Callithrix jacchus: one gene and its partners. The protein of the gene in region 6 interacts with the protein of the main gene of each other region in a pairwise test. Links are inferred from orthologs where the notes say so. Each region holds a gene or a part of one and is shown on either strand. Other genes may lie near its edges.

Evidence for each region.
Region 1: the proteins of FSD2 (region 6) and CDC73 interact in binary tests that used the Homo sapiens proteins (3 or more experiments, as listed by UniProt). The two-hybrid records come from large-scale screens. The link is inferred for Callithrix jacchus from reciprocal best matches to the Homo sapiens genes FSD2 and CDC73.
Region 2: the proteins of FSD2 (region 6) and BRD8 interact in binary tests that used the Homo sapiens proteins (3 or more experiments, as listed by UniProt). The two-hybrid records come from large-scale screens. The link is inferred for Callithrix jacchus from reciprocal best matches to the Homo sapiens genes FSD2 and BRD8.
Region 3: the proteins of FSD2 (region 6) and PBX3 interact in a two-hybrid assay, tested with the Homo sapiens proteins (3 studies listed by BioGRID and IntAct). The two-hybrid records come from large-scale screens. The link is inferred for Callithrix jacchus from reciprocal best matches to the Homo sapiens genes FSD2 and PBX3.
Region 4: the proteins of FSD2 (region 6) and PPP1R18 interact in binary tests that used the Homo sapiens proteins (3 or more experiments, as listed by UniProt). The two-hybrid records come from large-scale screens. The link is inferred for Callithrix jacchus from reciprocal best matches to the Homo sapiens genes FSD2 and PPP1R18.
Region 5: the proteins of FSD2 (region 6) and ESD interact in binary tests that used the Homo sapiens proteins (3 or more experiments, as listed by UniProt). The two-hybrid records come from large-scale screens. The link is inferred for Callithrix jacchus from reciprocal best matches to the Homo sapiens genes FSD2 and ESD.

The regions. Positions count from the first base shown.
Region 1 is NC_133519.1:50,418,129-50,421,628, reverse strand, and holds part of CDC73 (parafibromin), read right to left. Parts: intron 2,869-3,500; coding exon 2,727-2,868; intron 1,933-2,726; coding exon 1,896-1,932; 3' UTR 1-1,895.
Region 2 is NC_133503.1:36,576,837-36,580,336, forward strand, and holds part of BRD8 (bromodomain-containing protein 8), read right to left. Parts: intron 3,356-3,500; coding exon 3,233-3,355; intron 3,112-3,232; coding exon 3,031-3,111; intron 2,609-3,030; coding exon 2,544-2,608; intron 1,588-2,543; coding exon 1,451-1,587; intron 938-1,450; coding exon 719-937; intron 328-718; coding exon 183-327; intron 1-182. UniProt on the Homo sapiens protein: May act as a coactivator during transcriptional activation by hormone-activated nuclear receptors (NR). Isoform 2 stimulates transcriptional activation by AR/DHTR, ESR1/NR3A1, RXRA/NR2B1 and THRB/ERBA2.
Region 3 is NC_133502.1:174,328,328-174,332,627, reverse strand, and holds the start of PBX3 (pre-B-cell leukemia transcription factor 3), read right to left. Parts: upstream 2,801-4,300; 5' UTR 2,577-2,800; coding exon 2,377-2,576; intron 1,461-2,376; coding exon 1,387-1,460; intron 1-1,386. UniProt on the Homo sapiens protein: Transcriptional activator that binds the sequence 5'-ATCAATCAA-3'.
Region 4 is NC_133505.1:35,482,941-35,487,224, forward strand, and holds the start of PPP1R18 (phostensin), read right to left. Parts: upstream 2,801-4,284; 5' UTR 2,509-2,800; coding exon 2,450-2,508; intron 1,664-2,449; coding exon 31-1,663; intron 1-30.
Region 5 is NC_133502.1:69,264,981-69,268,996, reverse strand, and holds the start of ESD (S-formylglutathione hydrolase), read right to left. Parts: upstream 2,801-4,016; 5' UTR 2,524-2,800; intron 2,428-2,523; exon of another isoform or gene 2,348-2,427; intron 2,250-2,347; exon of another isoform or gene 2,224-2,249; intron 1,671-2,223; coding exon of another isoform or gene 1,560-1,670; exon of another isoform or gene 1,537-1,559; intron 1,355-1,536; exon of another isoform or gene 1,284-1,354; intron 1-1,283. Other genes in the region: uncharacterized protein LOC144581368, read left to right, coding at 1,560-1,670.
Region 6 is NC_133507.1:24,078,676-24,082,553, forward strand, and holds the start of FSD2 (fibronectin type III and SPRY domain-containing protein 2), read right to left. Parts: upstream 2,463-3,878; 5' UTR 2,221-2,462; intron 1-2,220. Other genes in the region: WHAMM (WASP homolog-associated protein with actin, membranes and microtubules), read left to right, coding at 2,463-3,074.

The DNA of each region.
Region 1 (3,500 bases), on a different chromosome or scaffold from region 6:
ATATTTGTCCTTTTCCTAAAGTTCCTCTATAGTTTTTCCATAAGCCTTTGAATATACATAAGGCAAATTCAAAATAGAAAAATAAACCTCATTCAAAGTAGATGTTCCTAATTTTAACCATATTCTGTATCAAGTAAAGTTCATTAATAAGTATAAATACCAAAAATCTTTACGGGAAGGTAGTTCATATTGACTTGTAGTAGTCTTGACAAGTAATCTTACATACATATATCACAGATTCTGGTCCTTGACTATTTCATCATGAAGAAAGTTTACACAACACGTAATTTATTCCGGAAACAGATCTATATGCTAAGAAAGCCCAATGGGAAAAAATCTGAGTTTTATCTTTAAGGAAAGAAGACACTAAAAAGGGAGGAAAACGGGTAGAATCTATTCAAACTTTCTAGGTATGCTAAAATCCAGTAATTTAAAATGCCAACTGTTCTCTTCTGAACAGCCTTGTAGATACCGTGTAAATAAATACCTTTTCTAGTTACTAGTGGTATGGACTTTGTGATTACTTAAAAGTAAATAATTTCTTCTCGTTTTTGTGACAGTGCTAAATTTCATAAAGAATCTAGATAATGTCAGCTTAACACCTATGAAAGGGATAAATGTTTGCCAACAATATGTTAACCTAGGAAAGAACTGCTGGGAATAACAAGGAAGAAAAAAATGACCTAAGACTGTGATCAGCAAAAATTCTGATGGCAAAAACAATTTGGGAAAGTAAAGCTTTCCAGTTGCTTTTAAGTAAAAAGAGCAAAATCAGGATTCAAGGAAAATGGTCAGTTGTACCTTGGAGGCAACATTTTGTCTAAAGTAGAGAAATAGTAAAATATTTTACTAAGTTAAAATATAGGTTTTATATTTTATACCATATTTAATACACACACAAAAATACCAGTGTTTTTCTCTTGTTTCTTTTCAATTAAGCAAATGTGTTCTTTGGTGTCTGGGAGTTTATCAATATTGAGGGATAATGGAAGATAAGAACTCCAAGACTGACAAGCCTAAACCTAAAACAGAAGACTCAAAATCCTATACCATAAAAATTAGAATCAAAGGTGGACTAAAGAGAAAAGGAGCTTAAAGACATACTGCAATAGGGCTGATACATATTCCTTCCCCAAATCATACTGTGGCTCCCAAAATAAAAAATACTACAGCCTATTATGGTTTTAATCTGTGTTTTGAAATTTTTTTCAAACGGAAAGATATCACAGATAGAAACACATCATTCTAAGTTTCAAAAATCACCAGTCAGTGAGAAGAACGTACATTCATTAAATGTTATCATTTGTAAATAAAGAAATCTTGAAAAGGCTGAACAGTTCAATCAAATTGAAGAGTTGTTCTTGATTTTTCATTATTCTTTTTAAATAAAGAGTAAGTGTAGATATAGTGTACATACAGGTTGACATTCTGATTCATTCAAAATGGTCACATCCCTCTGCTTGGTTTGGATGTTCCAGAGACTAAAATTTAATACCATTCATCACACAGTATTTTCAGTAAAAAGAATTAGAGAGCAATGAAAAATCAGAAGCAAGATGGCTCAGAGAGCCTTATAATCTCTAAATATACACACATTTATAACCTGCATTTATTTTCTAAAGAAACAAATTTTTTAAGTAATGCTAATTTAACCAATGGAGAAAAAACTTCTATCAAAATATACAATTTCCATTACAGACTAGAAGGCTAGTATTAAAAAAATAGTTGTAAGCCAAAAAGTTTGCTTATATGGATGACAGGCATCATCTCCTTGAAGCACAAAGCATCGAGTAAGGTTTTATAAAAGATCAATCTGTGACCTTCTTCATCTTTAAGTTCTTGATAAATTCATAAAGCTTGAGTCTCAATTTCCAGAAACAGAGGAGCCAAATAATTCAGAATCTCAAGTGGGATTTATGCTTTACCATGTACCTGAAAAAAAAGTATGATGGTAGGTCATAATGACTATAGAAATTTCGGAATTTTTAGAATAACGCATGTAAAAATAAGTTGACATTTCTTAAATCAACAGAATGTTGTTTTCTAGAAAACTGAAAATATAAGGACTTCTGGAATAAGCTAGAAATAACACTCCTCTTAAGTAATATAATCTAAAAGCTTCTAGCTAAAATGATATATATTTTTCACATCTATTGTGAGAGACTTACACCAAGATGTTACAGATTTTAAGGAGCACACCTCAAAGAGAATGGATTCAGTGGTACTCACTGTGAACATACGCTGTTCTTAAATCTGCCAATTACAAAACTGTTACTAAAGGGTTTTATCAACACTATACTAGTAATCAAAATAAATTTTAAAATTTCATTTCTTTTCATGAACTATGTGTAACACAGACGAACCCAGAATCAGAGATCTTTCAGTACTTGCAAAAACATAGGGCGCTTAATCCAAAGTTTCTTGGACAGATAATAAGGTTCAAAAAGGTCACACAGATCATTAGAGATTACAAAAGCAAGACTCAAGTCTAAGTCTTCTGACTCAATTTAGTGTTCCCTCTATCAGGCTATTAACTCTCCATCCCTTTCTAAAGTAATTATACAATAAAATTTTGTTAATTATTTACTGAAGATAAACATCAAATTAATGTTGAAAGAAGGAAAATAGGGAGTAAGATTCACAACTTTATGGAACTTAAAATTTAATTGAGGAGACAGAAAAATTACAATAAACCACAGATAAACACATTTTAGAATAAAAATTACCTGTCCAATGTTTCCCAAAATCGTAAGAACACTGGTCTATCCAAATGACGTTTGTGATAGCTAAGTTCTAATACTGTTACATCCCATTTCTGAACATTCGGATCCAGACGAACTTCATCATATTTCAGATGGAAGGCTTTAACTACAGTGTGGGGTGGGGAGAAGAAAGAATTTTTTACTCAAAATATAAACAAAATTATAAAAACATTTTACAGAAAATTTTTTACAAATCCAAATCCAATTAATATCTGGAATGAATTCAAGACATTAAACTGAAACCTAAAAAGAAAAAGAAAAAGAAAAAATTTCCACCAACTGAAGCCATAGTACAACCAAAGTGATTTTTTAAAAATATTATATTTAAAAATATTCAGGGTTTATATATGCCAGGCACTGGAGACTAAAATGAGGAATAAGGTAAGATAATATGCATATGGTCCAGTGAAGGACAATAAGAAAGACTGTAAGGGTACTAGGTTATTACAGAAACCCAAGAGTGCAACCTTACCTTGTAGACATTGTGGGTTCAGTTCCAGACCACCGCAATAAAGTGAGTACCATAATACAGTAAGTTACACATATTTCCTGCTATCTCACTGCATATAAAAGCTACATTAACACTATGTCATAGTCTACCTTAAGTGTGGAATAGCATTATGTCTGAAAAACAATGTATATGCCTTAATTAAAACATACTTTGTTGCTAAAAAATGCTGACAATCATCTGAGCCTTCAGCAAGTTCTAATTTTTTTTGCTGGTGTAGGATTATGCCT
Region 2 (3,500 bases), on a different chromosome or scaffold from region 6:
CAGACAGCTTTATAATCAGGAGCACTACATTGTTTACCAGGTAAAGTAGCTTCAAAAACAGTTAGACAAAGTTGGGCTTTAAACTAGGACTAACAATTACTTAGTAAAAAACACTGAAATTGAGGTCAGTCAATGTCAAGTTCAACACCTCTGAAGTAGATAAAGGAAAAGTGGTAACTTACCTGAGGCAGCAGGGGAGGCTGCAACAGTATTGGGTGTTTGCTGTATCTCCCCACCATGTATCATGGGAAGGACCCCGCCTACCTCCAGGAGGACACCTGTACTGTTCAGGTGGCCAGAAGCCACAGCCATTTCATTCTCATTGACCTACCAGGGAAGAACAGAGGTGAAGGCTACACTCAAGTTTTCCTTTACTACCATTTCCCAACAAAGCTCCAGAAGTTGATCAAACTTTATGAAAACTAACAGTTAACATCCACAGAGAATAATTTAATACCCAAGGGAAACTCTAAACTATAATGTTCAAAACTTATTTGACAAGAGTTCTCTGGAGTAGAGAACCAAAATAATTTTGATTCAGAGACCTCAGGACCCAAGGGTACTATCAACTTACTATATTTTTCAAAAATTAACATATAATTAGGAGATATTTTCCTCTTTTGAACTTTTTTTCCCCATGTCACATTTTAGGTCCCAGGCACTCCCTTCCAAGTACTAAATCACCACAGCTCTCAAACACCCACAGAAGTCTCCATACCAGTCTGGGGCTAGTAGGCAGGAGGCTGCCCTTCTTCAAGAGCTCTGACAGCAGAGGGGAGGGGGGTGGAGTTGCTTTCTGTCCAAGCATCTTTTTCTGGGGTGAATCATCTGTTACTGGGGTCATGGGGGCTTCTAAGGGTGCAGAGCCTGGAGGAAGGGTGTCAGGAATCCCAGGAAACGAGGTGACTGGGGTACTCGGCAAAGTCCCGGGGGTTACCTAAGAGACAACAGAGAACCTTTATCTGACTTCTCAAACTATGGAAGGTTCCCTACTAATCTGTTTGGGTTAGTGTGTCTAACTATTATTTTATTAGTCCTGAGTCGAATTGCCCAGAAAGCCTCTATCCCTCCTGCTCTCAGCCATACTTTTCTTCCCCACAAGCTTCACTTCCATCCACTCAAACATCCCACCCAACTTGCCTTTTATGAACTCCTTACCCACTACCAGTATTACATTTACAAGGACTCAGTCCCTTATTTTAGCAGGAATTTCATAAGACTAGTATGAAACAATTCCTTAAAACAGTCTTTTACCTATCTCTCAAAAAGGTCAAAAGCCTCAGTGTTTTTAGGTCCATTTTTATCTCAGAGCACAGAACATGGTAAATTCTTTAGCATTCAGACCAAGAGAGGAAGTTGCCTTTAGACCAAAAGTGGTTTCCTCATCACTCAGCTCTGCCGGCTTATTGCCCCTTAGCTGATCAATTTCTACAGCTGGAAATATACTCACCCCAGAGGTAGCCTCTTCCATAGTGGTTGGAGTCAAGTCCCCAAGTGGATAATCACCTCCTGGGGAGGCAGAATCTATAGGAGAGCGAACCATCACAGTGGGTAACCTCCGGGGGGGTGTTTTTACTGCTTGACGAGCTAGAACGTAAAAGAAAACATGTCCAAATCTTTAAGATTAAATAAATGAAACTTGACACTATTCTGCTATTATACAATAAAGGACAAATAGGAATGTTGCATTACTAAAGCAGCATAATGAGTTTGGATTAGAAAGCTTTAACACTTCTGGAGATGGATAACTTTTTAGCCTAATTTTTCCTAAGGGCAATTCTCACACTAAATAAACTCCTTTAACAATCTCAAACTACTTAGTTATCCCAAAAGTCCTCGGAGTGGGAAAGTGGTTTATACCCTTTAATATTCTCTTCAGTGACTTATTAATACTCTGCTTTTAAGAACACGGAGGCCAGGTACGGTGGCTCACGCCTGTAACCCCAATACTTTGGGAGGCCAAGGCAGGCGGGTCACCTGAGGTCAGGTGTTTGAGACCAGCTTGGCCAAAAAATTAGGCGGGCGTGGTGACAGGTGCCTGTGATACCAGCTACTTGAGAGGCTGAGGCAGAAGAATTGCTTGAATATCATAGGAGGCAGAGATTGCAGTGAGCTGAGATCATGCCACTGCACTTCAGGCCTGCACAACAAGCTCTCGGGGGTGGGGGAACAAAAACAGGAAAAGACCTCACAGCATTTATTCCTAGAGTTGTAAATGCTTACATTTCTCCCCTTATCTAATGACTGAGCTATTCTCAATCTTTTCACAGGCCTTTGACTTCTAAAACATTAATTATGTTCAATATCTTCTTATCGAGCCTTGGTATCCTAAAGTTATTTATTAAGGTCTAGTGAGATCTGAGCAGAGTTCATGTTCTAGGAGCTTCTTCTGGGACATTAAGGGATGTTTTTATTCTAGCAGAAGAGAAAACTGTGCAAGTAAATTTAACCCAATGGATTCTATGTTACAAAACAATCCAACTGTCATTAGCTTGCAGTACTGTGCGATCAACTGCTAAACAGATATACTAGGATCAGCTTACCCTGATATGCAGCATCTGTAGCCTTCCTCTTTACTTCAGCCTCCTCTTCTTCCAATTTTTTTTTCCTAAACAAGGAATTAAGAGTTAGACACTAGACAGGCTCTGGCTCCTCCCCAGAGTTCACAGAACCCATAAAAAGAAATTTTTTTGCCTGGCCAGCGCTTTCTGGAAGAAAGGCCTAAACAGGAATTCTAACCAGCAAAACAGGGAACTGGGGTATACTGTCTAACTCCCACTTCTTCACTCAGGCAAACTAGAGCCACTTTTAAGTTATAACTAAGTTATGTTTTCATACTGAAATGTTCCATCATATTACCTTCTAGGACTCACTCCCCCCTCCCAGCCACCAAGCCGCTTTGCAGTTTTCTCCTTCCAGAATCTGTCTCAAGTCTAAAGGGATGGCAGTTGGAGGAAATAAGCCAGATTACTTGAGGGGAAAAGAGGGGAAAAAGAAACAAGCACAGAAGAACAATATAATATAACCCACATTGCAATGTCATTGCAAAGCTCATCCAGTCTGCTGTCCATGTGTCCAGCTTGAATTAGTTCTGCATCTCTTTTTAACCGTCTATAGGAAGAAAAGAGAGGTAGGTAGAATGGATTTTTAATCTATTCTAAAAATCTGACCAATACCAGACGTCAGCCTCTTATGTCTTTCTCAGTCTTTTGGCATTCTCTCTGATAAGTACCTATATCTCTCCTGGGTTTCCTTTATCACTTTCTTTAGTTCCTCAACTCGCTCAGCAGTCAGTTTCCGAACAATGACGTCTTCAACAGTTTCCACCACTTCTCCTTTTTCACCTCGTTTCCGTCTGTGGAAAATGAAAAAAAAAAAAAAAAAAATCCATATTTGAATAAGAGAACATTTATCCCCTCTCCCACTTGCTCTGAGCCTTCTTTATCAATTAATCATAGATAACTTCTGCTATGTTTTTAAATCACCCACTATTATAAATA
Region 3 (4,300 bases), on a different chromosome or scaffold from region 6:
GGTAGCTAAAAATCAGCACAAAATAAAAGTTAGTAATTCAAAAAAGGATCACTGAGCATTAAGAAACCAGCCATAATATGTGAATGAAAAGCAGGAAAAGTACTGTTTAGGCTCCCTTACTATTTGCTGTTTATTATGATTTACCATGTATGTTTAACAGACAGCAATAACTTATCATCTTTTCTTGATTACTTTTAGGATCCAAATAGTACTGAAAAGCAAAAAATCTGTTTCAAAGAAAGCCGACTCGCCTATCAACCTAACAATTATTTGCACTGTGCTATTTGTACACTCAATTTAAACACAATCACATTTAACCTTTTAAATAGCATCCCTTGGATACTGCTAAATCCTGGACTTCAACTTTTTCTCCTTTGCCTCAACTTTCAAAACTGCAACTTTAAAATACCATATATACAACATACACACAAAAAAAAAAGAAAGAAGAAAGAAAAGAACAGGAAAAAAATCAACAGTAGAGCTTGTTTAATGTACTTGTTTGCCACATACAGGGAAGATAATGCCAAATACAAACTAAAACATCCAAATTAAATCTCTACTTCAATTTGAGCAGTTACTTCACTTCAAGACTAAAAGACCTTCAATCAAAAAAGTCTGACAAGAAAGTTAAATTGAAACGAATTGCCAAAAATTTGCCTAATATGTACCTGTAGTTTCCATTCCAGCACTTCTGCAAAACCTATCTTCTTATATATTCCCTGATTTGGACACTTCAAAATTGTTTAACCTGCCATCTGTAGACCTTTATAGACTTTATATATTAAAAGCACAGTTACAAGTGTAACGACTTCAGGATACAAAATAATAAAACTATTAACAGGTGTAATACATTGTATATATCTACACATCATTACCGGTCCTCAATTCTCTAAAATAGTCTTCCCACCTAAAACACTAATTCAAGCATGCTACCGGGGTCTGTTCAATTGCATCTATTCTTCTAACCCTGCAGCTGAAGCTTAAGATTGTCTAAGTACAACAAAGTTCGGGCGATGCTTCTCCCGGGGACTCGGTCCTGGCATCCAGTCTCCCGTTGCTCCTTTTAAAAACTGACACACAAACAAGGCGAAAGGAGAGAGGGCGGCTGGCGCTCCGGACCCCCTCCCCGCCTGCAGCCTGGGGTGGCTGCCTAGGGACAGCGACCCAGCCCGGTCCATACCTACACTTCATTTTACACTAGGAGCAGAACTGAGAAATCGACTCCAGATTTATTGCAGTTTTTTCTCAAGATCAGGACGTGGGAAGGAGAGAATGATCAAAGATGGCGGTGCCCAAAAGCAGCAGCTCTCAACTGGAGAGTCGAAGGAGTAGCTCCGACCCCCACCTTGGGGGTCTCCAGGCCCACTGCGGGGTACAGCGTCTTACCTGTTTTCTCTTTGATCTCACACAGGACGCTGAAGAGCGCGGGTTTCATTCTATGACAGTTCAGAGCATGTTTCCTAAAAAACAAATAACAAAACACAAAGGTATTAGCATCACCTATGGAATAATATGGCGCCTTCCTTTAAGTTAGACCCAAGAATTAATTCCGGCCCCCCATTCTGGAAGGCCCTTTTGAACCCTGGGAAGTCAACAAAAACTCCAATTGACTAGTGCCCGACAGCCAGCAAGTCCCGGCGGCGAAAGCTGCAGCCAGAACAAGGCGGACACATCTGCCCGACAGGCAGCAGCGTCAGCCACCGCAGACGCGAACCCACTCGGGGAGCATCGCCCCGGGGTCTGGCAGAGGTGAACCAGGGGAGAGAACTGGTGGGGAGGGGGCTCCCGAGACGGCTCCTGTACAGGGGGAGCGGGCGCGCGACGCGGCCGGCTGGCCGACTGCGGCCAGCGGGCGGGTGACAGCTCGGCAAAGTTTGCAAGGCGGCCCTCCCTTCCCGAGAACTTGGCCGTCCGCACCCGGACCCGCCAGGGAATTGCCCATCGCCCCGCGCCGGGACCGGGAGGCCCGTAAGCATGGCGAGGTCGTCCCGCAGCCACGGGGAGTCGGCTCCGGGACTCCCGGCCAGAAGAGAAAGTTGCACTTCCCGGTGGCGCGGCCGGCACGGGGATCCGGAGCGGAGGTTTAAATCCGTGGGAGGGGGCCGGGCTGCTAGGGGCAGGACGGGGGAAAGGACGCCACTGAATCCGTGCCGCACCGAGTCCGTCCTGATCCCCCCAGAGCAACTTTGCCGACTCCCGCCCGCTTCAGGGGGCTCGGGCGAGTCCCCCTCGAGGCCCGGGCGGGCGGCCGGCTTTCAGAGAAAGTTCCTCGACTGGGGCTGCGGCCCCGGCCCCGGGCGCCACCCCCGGCCCCGACTCGGCCGCGGGCCCGGCACCAGCACACACACAAAAGATGCTTAATGAGACGACACCAACTTTGCTTGCGCCTCGTCCAAGCTCTGGTCGGTGATGGTCATGATCTGGTGGAGGATGTCGCCGATGTCCTGCTTCCTGCCGTCGCCGTCCGCCCCTTCGTGGCCGTGCGGGGGAGGCGGCAGGGCCATGCCCCCCTGCACCGAGTGGCCGGCCAGGTTCACCCCGGCCAGAGTCTGCAGCATCCTGGATTGATCGTCCATCCCGCCGCGCGCGGGCGGGAGCGGGCGGCGGCTGAGGAGAAGGCTGAGGAGGCGGCGGCGGCGGCGGCGGCGGCGAGGGAGGAGAAGAAAGAGGGGGAGGGGGAGGGGGAGGCGGCCGCGCGCTCCCTGCCCGCGTGGGGAGGAGGCGGCCCGGCCAGCAGGGCCCGCGGCTGAGGCGATGCGGACCGGCGCCCGGCTCCGGCTTCCGCCGCCGCCGAACCTGAGGAGAAGCGGCGGGCGGAAGCGCCCGGCTCCGCGGCTGTGGTGGAGGCGGAGGCAGCGGCGTCCGCTGCCCTCACGCGGCCGCCGCGCCGCCTCCTCGCCGCCGCGCGCCCCGCCGGGCGGCCCCGAGCAACTTGCTCCTCAGCGCCGGCCGAGTTGCCGGGACGCCCGCCGCCCCCCGCGCCAGCCTGCGCACTGTCCTCCTTGCCCGCCGCCGCCGCCTCGGCCGGGCGGGATCCGAGCCCTGGCGGCCCCGGGGGAGGCAGCGGCGGCGGCGGGCGGCGGCGGCGAAGGAGGCCTGCGGGCGGGCCGCGGGGAGCGAGGGGGGCGGAGGAGGAAAGTTTGGGAGCGGGCGGGCTGAGGCGGCGGGGGCGCGGCGCCCGGAGGAGGGCCGCAGCGGGCCACGCGTCGAGTGGACAGCGGATGGAAGGGGCGGGAGAAGTCGCCGCCGCCGCCGCCGCCGGAGCCGCGCACCCAGCCAGCAGCCGCCGCGGACCAGGCTGGAAGGCCGCTGGGCTGAGGGATTGACAGGCTGCCAGTGCCACTCACTCACTGCGGCCCCGCGCCGGGGGGAGGGGCGGGGCGGGCGAGGGCGGGGGAGCGCTCCTCAGGCCCCGCCCCCGGGGCGGTGCGCGCGCTCATTGGGCCCTGCGCCTCCCGCCGCCGCCGCCGGCACCGCCCCCGCGGCCCGGCCCGTCCCCTCTGGCCTGTCTGTTGCCCCGGCGCTTCGAAGTGCGCCGCCTGATTCTCGCTCCATCCTTGTCGCGTCCTCGCCCCCGGAGATGGACCTGGCCGGCCTAGAAACGCTGTGCCGGGACCCCGACGCCTACTCCCTGCTGTTGGCAGTCATGGGCGCCGGGGCTTGTGTATGGGACAGAGGACAACTTGCTCCAAAGCCAACTGTGTACTCCCCCCGCCGCACTCGTGAGCTTCACGCCTCGGACAACGCCTGGTGCACTTTCCCGCTCTTCCGGTCAGGAGGTGTTGCCCTCTGGGTACCAGGCCGCTCGTCCAGGGCCAATCGCAAAGCGCTCGGAGCCGAACGGGGCGGGACAGAGGCAAGAAAACGTTGTCCCAATTGGAGCGTTCGAAAGGTCCTGGGCAGAGGCGGGGAAGCGGCGAGTGGGGGCCCCGCCCCACCCGCGGTCGCCATGGTAACCGAGAGGGCGCCGCTCAATGTCGGCGCCAGCACCCGGGCCTGGTGCTGTCCCTCAAGGAGTGACCAGTTAAGGTGGTAGCCCCTGGTCCCGCGTGCTTGAGGCCTGAGCTGAGTGGACCTGAGTGCCACAGACTCCCTTGAAAGGGGAAATGTGTAATAGGGAAGCGAGTCTGGGAGAAGGGAAAATGCCTGCAGTCCAGGACTAATTTCAGGTTTACAACACTTTACACACTCTGCAACTCCTGGTAATCCAGGGACTACTCCTTTGGCAGCGTTTGCTATTCGATGCCTCCAGACGAACTGAAGCTGCAAAAACGAGCTCTTCATTACAACGATACGTTTT
Region 4 (4,284 bases), on a different chromosome or scaffold from region 6:
CTAAGAAGTCTGGCTCGGCTGTTCCCCTACCTGTTTGTGGTGTCTTTCGGGGGACCCCTTGGCAAGGCAGCTGCGGCTGAGACGGAGGTAGCCCCCCAGAACCAAGATCTCCTCGGCAGTTGGGTACCGCTTCTTCCCAGCCCCCAGGGCTGCAGCATCAGCTGTGGCTGGAGAGGCTGGGGTGGCTGGGGGAGTCGTAGGGAGCACAGACCGCCGGGGGTTGACGGTGAAGGTGTGTCCACTGCGGCGGGGGGCCCCCACCCCTGGCCCTGCTTTCACCCCATAGAACAGGCGGCTCATGAGGGGATCCCCAGGAGGTTGGGGGGCAGCTGGGGCTGGGGGTGGGGGAGATAGAGGGGCTGGTGGTGGGGGCTGGAGTTCCACTGCTTCTTCTTCCTGCTGTCTCAGGCCTCCAGTCCCAGCGTCCTCTGGTGGGAGGGGGGAGGGCACAGAGCAGCAGTTCTGCAGGGCTCTCAGAGGCCTGCCCTGAGCTCCCGCCTCCTCCTTCTCAGCCTCCCCTTCTCCAGCTTCCACACCGGGAGGCTCCAGACGCTTTTCCACTGACTCTGGAGGTTCTGGTTTCTGAGTTTGAGCCTCGTTGTCGTTGGGTGTCCATTCTCGAGCGTTCCCAGAGTTCAGGGTCCATTTCCACCCTTCTGTTGGCTTCATGCCCCTCTCACTGTCTCCCATAGGCCTCTGTTCTGCAGCCTCCACTCCTGCAGAACTGCTGCCTTGGGCCTCCTTTGTCAGGGTCTCTGACAGCTCTGTAGTCTCTTCTGGGGCCACCCCTGGAACTGGCCTCCCTTCTTTTCTCCTACATTCTTCTGAGTAGCCTTTTCTTTCTTCTCCTGACCTCAGCCTCCACTCTGTTGCCTCTGGTTGTACCAAACTCTGTTCCTGAGACTCTCTGGAGTCAGGTCTCCATTTATGGGCCTCTGTCAGGCCCAACTTCGGGTAGGCAGATTCCCCTGGGCTCAGTCTACTTTCCACCTCTTTTCTTCTGGGGCTTTGCTCTCGAGACTCTGCTAGTCTCAGACTCCGCTCTGGAGTTTCTACAGGACTCAGCCTCCATTTCCGTGCCTCTGACAGTCGGGAGCTCTTGTCTCCCGCCTCTCCTGGGCTTTGCCTCCAGTCCCGAGCCTCCAGAGGCCTCAGGCTCGACTCTTGGGCTCCCCCTATCCCCAGCCTCCTCTCTCTGGTCTCCCTGGGACTTAGTCTCTCTTCTCTTGACTCTCTTCTCTTGGGGCTCTGATCCCGCATCTCCCCAGGGCTGGGTCTCCGCTCCCGGGCCTCCAGAGATCCAGGCTTTCTCTCAGCTAGCAGCTCTTCACTCCGTTGCTGCTGCTGCTGCCGCTCCTGCCGGATGAATCGGTTCTGGTGCACTGGCCCGATGGCCTCCTGAAGGACCGCAGATTCATCTGTGTCTGCAGGTCCGGCTTCTGCAGTCCCTGGCACAGGGCTAGGCTCCCCAGGGGACAGCCCAAGCTTGGCCCGGCGGCGCTCCAGAAGCCCTCGCTTCCAGGCTGGCATCTGGGATAGGCGCTCCCGTTCTGCCTTCTCCCGGCCTCTAACGGACGCCTCCTCCTGCCGGCGCCGGGCTAACAGCTGTAGCTTCCAGTCTGGGATGGTGGTCATGGTCGCCTTGAGGTGAGGGTAGGGAGCACTGGGGGCAGAGAACAGGAAGAAGAGGCTCCAGAGAGGCCCAGGGAGTGAGACTGAGGGTGGGAGGGGAGGAAGTGGAGGGGGAGAGGTGGGACCACGAGCAGGGCAGAGGAGCTGAGGATGAGGACCAAGGGAAAGAGGGACGGCAGAGAACAGGGGAAATGGAAAAAGTGAAGAGAAGTTATGAGCCCAAGTTGGGGGTGGTGGGGGCGATGTGAGAGGAAGAGTCCAGATTGGAGGCAATGAGGACAGGAGCCAGATGTGGCAGTACAGGGTTAATGCGTATTAAAGACAGTCTCTAGGATGTGGGAAACAGAGAATGGGAGAAAAGAAAAGTTGCTATGAGGGTGAAAAGAGAAAAGGGGCAGGGATGAGGGGAACCCGGGTGCAGGCCTGGCTGCCTCAGCGATACCCCAGGGAGGTGAGTGTGGGAAGGAAGGACCGGGAATCCCTCCCGAGGAGGGCAACGGGACCTGAGGGGGTGTCGAGGAGGCAGGGAGGAGCGGAGAGCGAGCAGGTCTAGGGGAGAAGGGAAACCAGGGAAGAGGGGAAGGGAGCGCGGCGGTAGCGGCCGGGAGCGTCTCAGCGCGGGCCCCAAAGGTCCCTGCTCCGCTTCCAGTGCCGCTGGGGCCACGCCTCTCCCCAGCCCCCACCCCTCTGCCCCGCACTCCGCCCCCGAGGCGGGTCGGGGGAAATACCCACCCCGGGACTTTCGGAACCCGGGCGTCGGGGCTGCCAGCGCGTTCCCAGAACCCTGGTATCCACCCCCACCCAGTCCCGTCAATACCGCCTGCCTCCCCCGCCGTCTGCGCCCGGCGACCCCGGAGTGCCGAGGGCCGGCTCCATGCCTCTTCTCTCCAGCGCCTGCGAGTCCCATGCCCGGTCCCCGCTCTCATGGAGCCGTGACAGAGCCAGCTGTCTCCACCCCGCTCTGGCTGCACAGACTGACAATCTCGGCACAAAGAGGAGACAGCCAAGGTCCGGGCCAGGGACGGGAGCGAGGAGACACCCCCTCCCCAAGTCTAAGCCCCTCAGTCAACTCACACGCCGTGGGGCCCCCCTGGGAGGGGGTGCGGAGGAGCCGGGCGTCCAGAGAGAGGAAGAGGAGGAGAGAGGGACCGAGGGAGATCCGGAGACTGGAGGGAGGGGAGGAGGAGGGAGAGGAGGAGGGAAAGAGGCAGCAAAGGAGGAGGGACGGAGACAGAGATCAGGGGGCCGGGCGGGGGCGGCGACCGCTTTGTCTAAGGACAATGAGGAGAGGGAAGGGGGCGCAGGGCGGAGCCCGAGGGGAGGGCGGGGCTCCCTCCCACCGCGCGTGGGACTGGCTCTGGGACTGCCCCCTACTCGCCCCAACCCCTGGTCCTCTGCTCTGTGTCCCCAGGGGCCCTCAACCGCTTCCCTCCCGGTAGCCCTGAAGAACCCAGGTGTCCAGATCCCTTCCCCCAGCTCGCCGACCCAGGGCGGTGGCCCGTGACTCAGGCCCCTCGTGGGACTTTGGGAGGAAGCGGCAGCTGCTAGGAGCCGGGCCCGCCCTTCCCATCTCCTGCCTCTCAGCCCTCCCCGCGATTTTGCCTTCTCCGGCCAGTCTTTGTTTTTGCCGGGTCGAGGGCAGCCACCAGGAGGCCTTGAGGAGGGGGCGGCAGGAGAGGCGCTCAGAAGCCAGCAGTTTTGGAAGCTCGTTCTCCTACCAGAGCTGCTGTCCCCACTCTTTCTAGCTTCAACCTGCCTCCCATGAGTCTCTTGGTCAGCTGCGGGGTTGGGGAGTGGGGGAAGGGGATTTGAAGGAATGGGGACCCGGCCTCTCTGGCAAAGTGGGGGCGGGTCAGCGGGGGCGCGGTGGTCGAAGGCCAGCGGTTGCCAGAGGGCGTGGTGGCTGCCCAGACTCCACTTCGCGGGCTCGCAGGCTCCCTCTGGCTTTCCTTCCCAAACTCAGCCCTGCAGCTTGGGAGACACTGACAGACTACATGCAGTACGTAGAAAAATCAGGCTTTTATTTTCCTGCAGAGCATCCAGAACAGGAAGCCCCAAGTTAAGAACGGGAGAATCCTCTTGACTAGGTTCAGAGGCAGGGCCTAAGGAGGTGCAGACACTAGGGCCGGGAGTGCTGAGGCAAGGTGTGGGGCCTGGAGGGACAGCCACTGCCTTTGAACTTGCAGACCCTGGTCCAGCTTCTCGGAGTGGAAGCCAGAGGTGGCGAAGTGGGAGGGGGATCCCAGAGGCACAGAGAGAAGCAATGGTGCCCGCCAGCGGAATGGTCAGGGCAGATCCTTTCCTTCTAGGAGACTGTTGAAGGGGAGCATGCCATGCCCTAAACAGTGAGGAGACAGATGAATTCCATACCCTGCTCTTCCTTGCTGGTGAGATGTGGACTCTTGGAGTTCAGTGGCTGAAACTCAGAATTTAGAGTATGGAGCTGGACCCAGAGAATAAAGTAGCAAGTAGTGGAAGGGGCAACTCCTTTAGTCCATGGATTTGAGCCTCTGGCCTGAAGCAGCCAGGGCCTGGATGTTAAAGATTTAGAATTCAGGGGGAGAGAGACTGGGCGTGGTGGCTCATGCCTGTAATTCCAGCACTTTGGGAGACTAAGGCAGGCGGATCACAAGGTCAGCAGTTCAAGACCAG
Region 5 (4,016 bases), on a different chromosome or scaffold from region 6:
TTTTTTCTTCACACTCTCTTTCCCTAAACCTCATTCCCTAAATTTCAACTATATTTTCTGGGTGAAATAATTTAAATCTGCATCTCTATAACCAATCTTTCTGAAGCATTAGTGCCCATAATGAAATTTCTTGCTGGGACCTTCTACCAAGACATGTCACCGGCTATTAAAACTCAATACATCTAAAATTAAGCTTCTACATCTCACCTTCAAACCATTCCTCTCTCTTCATGGCCTCCCTTTTCCAGACTAATGCCTGTCTTGCCTAACTTACATTTGAGATGCCTCAAAGTCACATTCTTTTTGAATTCCCACTGCCATCATCCTAATTATATATATATGGGGATTAAAGCCTGGTGTTTTAATCCAGTTAATTTACGGTTTAATGGATCCCTACAAACAGCTCATCTGCAGGCCTAATACGGCCTACATGTAATTGTTAGTCATTTTTACTTAGTATTTTTTAAACTGTGATAAAAACAAATACATAAAATTTACTATCTCAACCATTCCTAAGTGTGTATTTCACTAGAGTTAAGTATCCGTTAGTCATAATTAAAAGCACAGTTGCTAGCTCACAATAGTGAGCAGATGAGAACTGCTTGACCACCCCCTGGCTGCTGCAGGTGGAGGCTGCTAATCCCCTTCACTGCTAGGCCAGTAGCTGAGAACCTGGAAGTCAGCGAAATGGAAGACCATGTTAATTTTATAATTTTCTTCAAGTTTAATGCCATTAAAGTTTCATAAAATTAAAACCATGAAGGATCACTGAAAAAAGGTAAGAATGAATAAAACTCCATATAAACTTCAATCACATTCTACCTGTGTACAAGCATAGTCTTATTTTATTTTTTAAGATAGCGTCTAACTCTGTGGCCCAAGTTGGAGTGCAGTGGTGTGATCTCGGCTCACTGCAATCTCCCCGCCTCAGCCTCCGGAGTAACTGGGACCACAGGTGGCACCACCATGCCTGGCTAATTTGTTTGTAGAGGAGGTTTGGCCATGTTGCCTAGGCTGGGTCTATTCTCCTTTATAAAAATTCACATGGCTTGTCAAACTCAGAATATCCACTACACTCTGGGGGGGAAAAAACTAGAAAAATATAACATCTATAAACACCCAACACTTCCACTTGGCTCTAAATATGGTCTATAATTTGGTCCCACATTATTTTTCTGGTCTCACTTCCTATTAAGTTAGCTAAACCCAACTATGCGTAATTCTAGAATGGCCTGGATGTTGCTATCAGGTGACTTTACTCAATTCCACAGTACAATAGTTTCAGATCATGTTCTGAGGCCAGACCCTCTGGGTTCAAAGTCTGGCTTCACCATTCATTACTACTTGACACCGGGTAAGTTATTTAATCTGTGCCTCATTTGCCCATCTGCAAATGGGGATACAGTAATATCAGTTTGATAGGGTTGCTCTGGAAGTTAAATGAGTTAATTCACACAGTGCTTGGAACGCTGCCTCTACCACACTAACAAACAAAAACTATTATTTTTCCTGCAACCTGGAATGACATCCTTCAAGTGGGCTCAAATCCCATTTCCCTGATGACCTCATCAGAAATGACTTCCAGTCCCCCACAGCGCTCTGAGAGCGGTTTCCGACCGGAACGGATTTCGCCAAACTCCAAAGACGCGGGTTCCCCTCGGCATCACCAGGTGAGCGCTGCTGACCGCGCCATTGGGTCGTGCCAGGACGTGGACGCTGCCCAGGGCAGCAGGTCCACACTCCCCTAAACCAGGCGCCGGTGGGCGCTACTAACGCGTTGAGGCCCGCTCCCTCCTTAAAATGCGTGCACATCTACTTCATATTTTCGCGCGGTGGATGCGAAAAGTCTTTGTAAACTGGAAAAGGCTGTACAAATGTAGCGGGCAGTAGGTAAACCGGCCCTTCCCCTGGGATGCGATGCACGCCCGAGCGCCCCGGGTTACACTAGGTTGGAGGCTCAGAGAAGGAAAAGGGATTAAGGGCGAGGCTCCGCGTCTCGGGACAAGGTCCTTGGCCTCCTGTCATGCCTGGTGGCGCTAGGGACCCGTGATCGCCATCTCTGCGATCGTGCATGCGGATATCTGCACCGCAAGCCTCGGTGTCCGCCCGGATCAGGCCTACCCGTGCCGCCGCAGCCGCAGCCGCAGCCGCAGCCGCAGCCGTAGCTGCAAGAGCCGCAAGAGGGCTGACAATGTCCAGGCCTCTACCCGGACCCAGTCTTACCTCCGGCGGCAGAGTTACCAGCAGACGCAGCCGGAAGTAAAAGACGGGCTCAAGATGGCCGCCGGAGCCTCCCTCTCGGCCCTCCCCCACCAATATGATGCCCCGCCCCTCCGGTCCCGCTCACTCTGGCTTTTAACTCCGGTTCCCCAGTCCGGTTCCCATGGCCTCGCCCCTTTGCACATTGCGCTTCCCGGCAGCCTCCGCGTGGGCGTCCCCTCCGACTCTTGCTTTCACCGGCTTTTCCACTCCTGGTGGTTACTAGGACCAACGAGGGGGGCGTTTGAGGTTAATCCCTGTTACCTTGCCTGAGCGCAGTCCGCTGTGCGTGCTCAGACTCTTCCCAGCAAGAACCCGAAGCATTAATAAATTTGAGGTCTAGCTTCACTTAACTCGAGGAGAGGGTTTCTGTGTCACTTACGTAGAAACTAGGGCCCAATTTCAACTCCCCCCCACTCCTCTGTCCTAAGTCTATCCACGTCACCTACTTGGTAGCTGGAGTTAAACAAGAATCCTTTGAAATCTCCAGTCACCGACACGCAGTGGGATCACTATCAGTTTTCCTGTTTCCTTCCTTCCTTCCCTCAATAAAAATTAACTTGAACTAAGTAACATTTGCTGGTTGATAATTTACAGCAAATCTTTCCTTTTGGCCTCTCTGATTAAGTAAACTGTGAGTGTACTTTGCCTCTTGAGAAATTAAATCTGATTACAACAGAGCTACATATTTTTCACCAATGGTTAGACTGACATTGTAAATACACTATCTGATAGTTGGGGCTGGCCTCGTGGTCCTGCAACCTGTGCTCTTACCCCGGCCCCCAGAACAGAAGGACGCTACACTTTATCTCAATAAGTTTTGAACCCCGGGCCCCACATTTATGTCTAGCACTGGGCCCTGCAAATTGTGTAGTGATAGGAACTGATATAAGTATGGATGAGCTGCCACACAGAAGATTACCTGCCAGAATCTATTGTGTGGCTCAGGCTCCTTTTGCCATAGTGATCTTTGGACTAATTTAACCTGTGGACTGAACCTGTGAATCAATTGGAATTCAGACTAAAAATAATGTTTCATCAAAATAATGTTTTTATTTTGAGAAAGCATTAAATTGTTTTAAACTTTATTTTTACTAATAAAGAATTGAAAAGGGGATTTTCTTCAGTTTCAAAACTGAAACAGAATAAATGAATACCTGTTTGCAAGTTCTTTAGAACTGATGTTTGAACAAAGATAAATAATTAAATGATAAATTCGCCTCACTGCTTCGAGGTGGACTAGCCAAAGAACTCTAAGTGTGAAGTTCTTTTACTAAAGGGTTCTTGTGTTAATACAATATGAGAATAATTAGAACTAAAATCTCTTTTACACAGCATAAATAAAATGTTAATTGATCCACAAAAGTTGATTTCTTTAAAATATTAAGAATGTGTATATAATTATAATTATTTGGACATGGAAGCAAAGTAAGCTGAAATCAGAAATTAAGATTGACATTTTAGATAATGAAACTATCAATAAAAATGGATCAATATTAAGTACCCAAAGAAATAGTCCAAAAATTATATGTGAATGTGTGACTGAGAAGATTTAGGACTCTTGGGTTGAACTAAAATAAATTGGAATATAATCTTAAGGAGGTAATAAAGGGATGCAACAAAACTGAGAAAACGTCAAATATACTTAAAGCCTATAAGAAAAGAGATTGTATTAGTCAGTTCCAGCTTAACAGAAATGTAATCCTCACCATTCTAAAAGTCTAGGAAGTCCAAGATCAGGGTGCTGGTGAATTCTG
Region 6 (3,878 bases):
TGGTGGTGCACGCCTGTAATCCAGCTACTTGGAAGGCTGAGGCAGGAGAATTGCTTCTGGGAGGCGGAGTTGAGCTGAGATTGCGCCATTGTACTCCAGCCTGGGCAACAAGAATGAAACTCCAACTCAAAAAAAAAAAAAAAAAAAAAAAAAAAAAAAAAAATACAAGTATCTGTGAACCAAGAAACAGGCCCTTCCTTTCCAGACACCGAATCTGCTGGTGCTTTAATCTTGGATTTTCCAGCCTCCAGAACTATCAGAAATAAATGTCTGTTGTTCATAAGCCACCCAGTCTATGGTATTCCGTCCTAGCAGCCTGAATGGGCTAAGACATATATTAATATATATACAGAGGAGACTTTTTTCTTTTTTTGAGACTGAGTCTCACTGTTTCACTCAGGCTGGAGTGCTGTGGCACAATCTCGGTCACTGTAACCTATGCCTCCTGGGTTCAAGCAATTCTTGTGCCTCATCCTCCTTAGTAGTTGGAAGTATAGGGCATGCAGCATGCCTGGATAATTTGTGTGTGTGTGTGTGTGCGTGTGTTTTTAGTAGAGACAGAGTTTGGGCATATTGGCCAGGCTGGTCTCGAACTCCTGACCTCAAGTGATCTTCCCACCTCAGCTTCCAACAGTGCTGGGATTACAGGTGTGAGCCACTGCACCGGGCCACTCACTACACTTTCATAATTAGAAAGATTAGTTTCCTCTTGAAAAAACAAATAGATTAGAAAACTAGTAGAAGTGGTTACAAAGTATAAAAGAGATAGTAAAATGATACAATGTGAGGAGTATACAAGAAAGATATTTAAAACAGACTTTTTGTTTGTTTGTTTGAAACAGAGTCTTACTCTGCTGCCCAGGCTGCAGTGCAGTGGCACAATCTCGGCTCACTGCAGACTCCGCCTCCTAGGCTCCAGAGATTCTCCTGCTTGTTGTTTGCCCTTGGGGATAACAGAAAGCACAAAATATAATTCTCAGTTGACACTGTACATTTCCCAGGCAGAGACGAGGGCGGTCTTGGTCCTTATTGTATGAACAGATCCAACTCCACCCTGACATGGAAACTGGATTTCCTGATATCTCCTTAAACAGGCCTTCAGTAGCCAGGTAGTCATGTTGAGCCTGAGTTTTGGTGTATCTTAAGTTAGTCTGGGCCTCTGTTTCCTTAACTCTAAAGTTGTTGAGAAATGTTAAGTTTATGAATATTGATGTTGAGAAATGTTAAGTTTATGAATATTGATGAATGCCGAGTGTATGACAGAATATATCGTTTGCTAGGAAGAACGATGGCAAGGAAAACCAGCACACAGCCCCACCCCCCCCCCCCCCCCCGCCAAGTAGAAAACTACTTGGGGCATTCCAAAGTGGCAGGACAATGTATAAATATCACAAACCGGTTACAGTTCTTTAAGAACCTGCCCCCGTGGCTCCCTCACGGAGAATACTTTTTAGGTTGTGATCAGTTGTAAGCGGGCACCAGATGTCTACTTGGCGTGTTTTGTGTTATGAGAAAACACATAACACCTGTTTGTTAATAGTGATCACCTGTTCAGGGAGAATAAATGCATGGGTCAGAGTCTACTTGGGGCCTTCAGTCCGGAATGCTGTCCGGCCCCTGAGGCTCTCAGTTCAGAAGCCTATTGGCCACTGCCCTCCCCGCCTCTCACCCCCATAAGCCCACTTTGCTGTTCTATCTGGGTGTCTGCCTCTCAGTTCCTTCAGCGCCGCCTGGATGGGGGTCTCTATGGCCGAGCTGGTACTTGGTATAAAGTGAAGAGTTGGAATGAAGATTGTATTTAAACACCCTGGCTGGAAGCTGTGGTGCCCTGAATTCTCCCTCTTACTCCATCGTCTCAATACTGGCACACAGCCGACACTCAATAAAAGTAAATTTGTGGCTTCTGTCCAGTACTTGGCACTTAGAAGCCCTCAATAAATGACTATCAAGTTTATTTCATCTTCCCAGCACATTTGTGACAGTCTTGAGGGCGGGAACCATGTACTCAATAGGGCCCTGATGACAGAAGAGGAAATCGGCTTGGTCCCTATTCGTAGAAGTTCATAGGTTAGTGTGGGAGGCTAAGATAATAACTCGCCCATTTAAAGATATTTTTCCAAAGTCCGCATGTATTGGGTGGAAAAGGTGAGGCAAGCGTTGTATTTCCCAGACTCCCGACCAGGTTGCGAAATGATTGACGTCCGAGGGAGACCACCTCACCTTTTCATTGGTTGTAGCTGACCCTCCCTTCTATCACCTAACCATTCCCGACGGACGCCTCACTTAAGCCCCGCCTCCGGCTGCCAGCCAATCAGAAGTGCCGAGGACCGGGTCGCTGCCGGGACACTGACGCGGTTTCGATTCCAGCGAAAAATGCCTCAGCTCGGACTGTCTCGTGACAGGGGGTGCGAGGAGGACAGTCCCGCGCCCGCTGAGCCCTAGAGCCGCTGCCGCCGACTGTCATGGAGGACGAGCAGCCTGACAGCCTGGAGGGCTGGGTGCCGGTCCGAGAGGGCCTCTTCGCCGAGCCCGAGCGGCACCGGTTGCGCTTCCTGGTGGCCTGGAACGGCGCGGAGGGCAAGTTCGCTGTGACTTGTCACGACCGCACCGCGCAGCGGCGGTGGCGACGCGAGGGGGCCCAGCCCGAGCCCGAGCCCGAGCCCGAGCCCGAGGCCGCCATGTCCCCCCCAAGCTGGGCCGGCCTACTTTCGGCCGCGGGGTTCCGCGGCGCGCACCGGCAACTGGCGGCGCTATGGCCGCCTCTAGAGCGCTGCTTCCCGCGGCTGCCACCGGAGCTGGACGTAGGTGGCGGCGGCGGGGCCTGGGGCCTGGGTCTTGGGTTGTGGGCGCTGCTGTGGCCGGCGCGCGCGGGGCCCGGAGAGGCGGCGCTGCGGGAGTTGTGTGGACGGCTGGAGCGCTACCTGGGCGAGGCGGCAGACGGCTGCGGTGGCGCCACCGTGCGCGACGCGCTCTTCCCGGCTGAGGGCGGCGCGGCAGACTGCGAGAGCCTGCGCGAGTTCCGGGAACGGGCCCTGCGCGCGCGGTGGACCGAAGCGGACGCGCGGCTGCGCCAGGTAAGTGAGGTCGGGCCCAGTCTGCGCTGCCTAGGCTTGGGACCTTGTGGGAAGCTCCCCGGGCGCCCAGAGCCCGGGCTGCCAGCTGACGAGGAGGAGCCGGAGGGTGGAGAAGGCCGCGGGCTCCGCGGTGCTCTCACCTTCGCGGGACCGCTGTGCGAAACGGGCGGGAGCTCCGGGAGGGCCTGCAGAGAGGACGGACAAAGTTAGAGCCTAGTGTACTTGCAGCTCGGAGCTGGGCTAGGCTCCCAACCTTTGTCCTGGAGATGCTGGCAGAACAGGGTGTTGTAACGGGAAATGCCAGAAATATTGCAAGCAAAACTGTAAACAACCCATCCACGTAGGAAAGAATAACACGGACTAAATGTAAGCGTTCCAAGTCTGTATATGAGGGAATGTCACAAACGGGATAAAATGGTTTAACGGAAGAAATGGCTGTTAAGAGATAAGGTGTTTTGTTTTGTTTAAGTGATAAAGACTTGGCTGAGGGAAAGTGAAAGTGAACTTTAGTCATCAGTTTGGAATAACTGCAGGAGTGCTGCTTGAACGAGGTAGTTTGAGAAGGAGTTATTGAGTGGTACACCTAGCGAACCTAAGGGGAGGGGGAAGTACAAGTTCATAGAAGGGTTTAGGAGAAAATATGCCTTCTAAATCCACGCCCACAGTTTACTAAGGAGAGCCAGGCTGGTGTGCAGTGGGACAATCTTGGCTTACTGCTGTTATTAACCTGAATGATTTTTTTTTGTTCATTAAGGAAGGGGAGGTGAAGAGAAGAGTTCAGCTACATTTCAAAATCTTAATTAT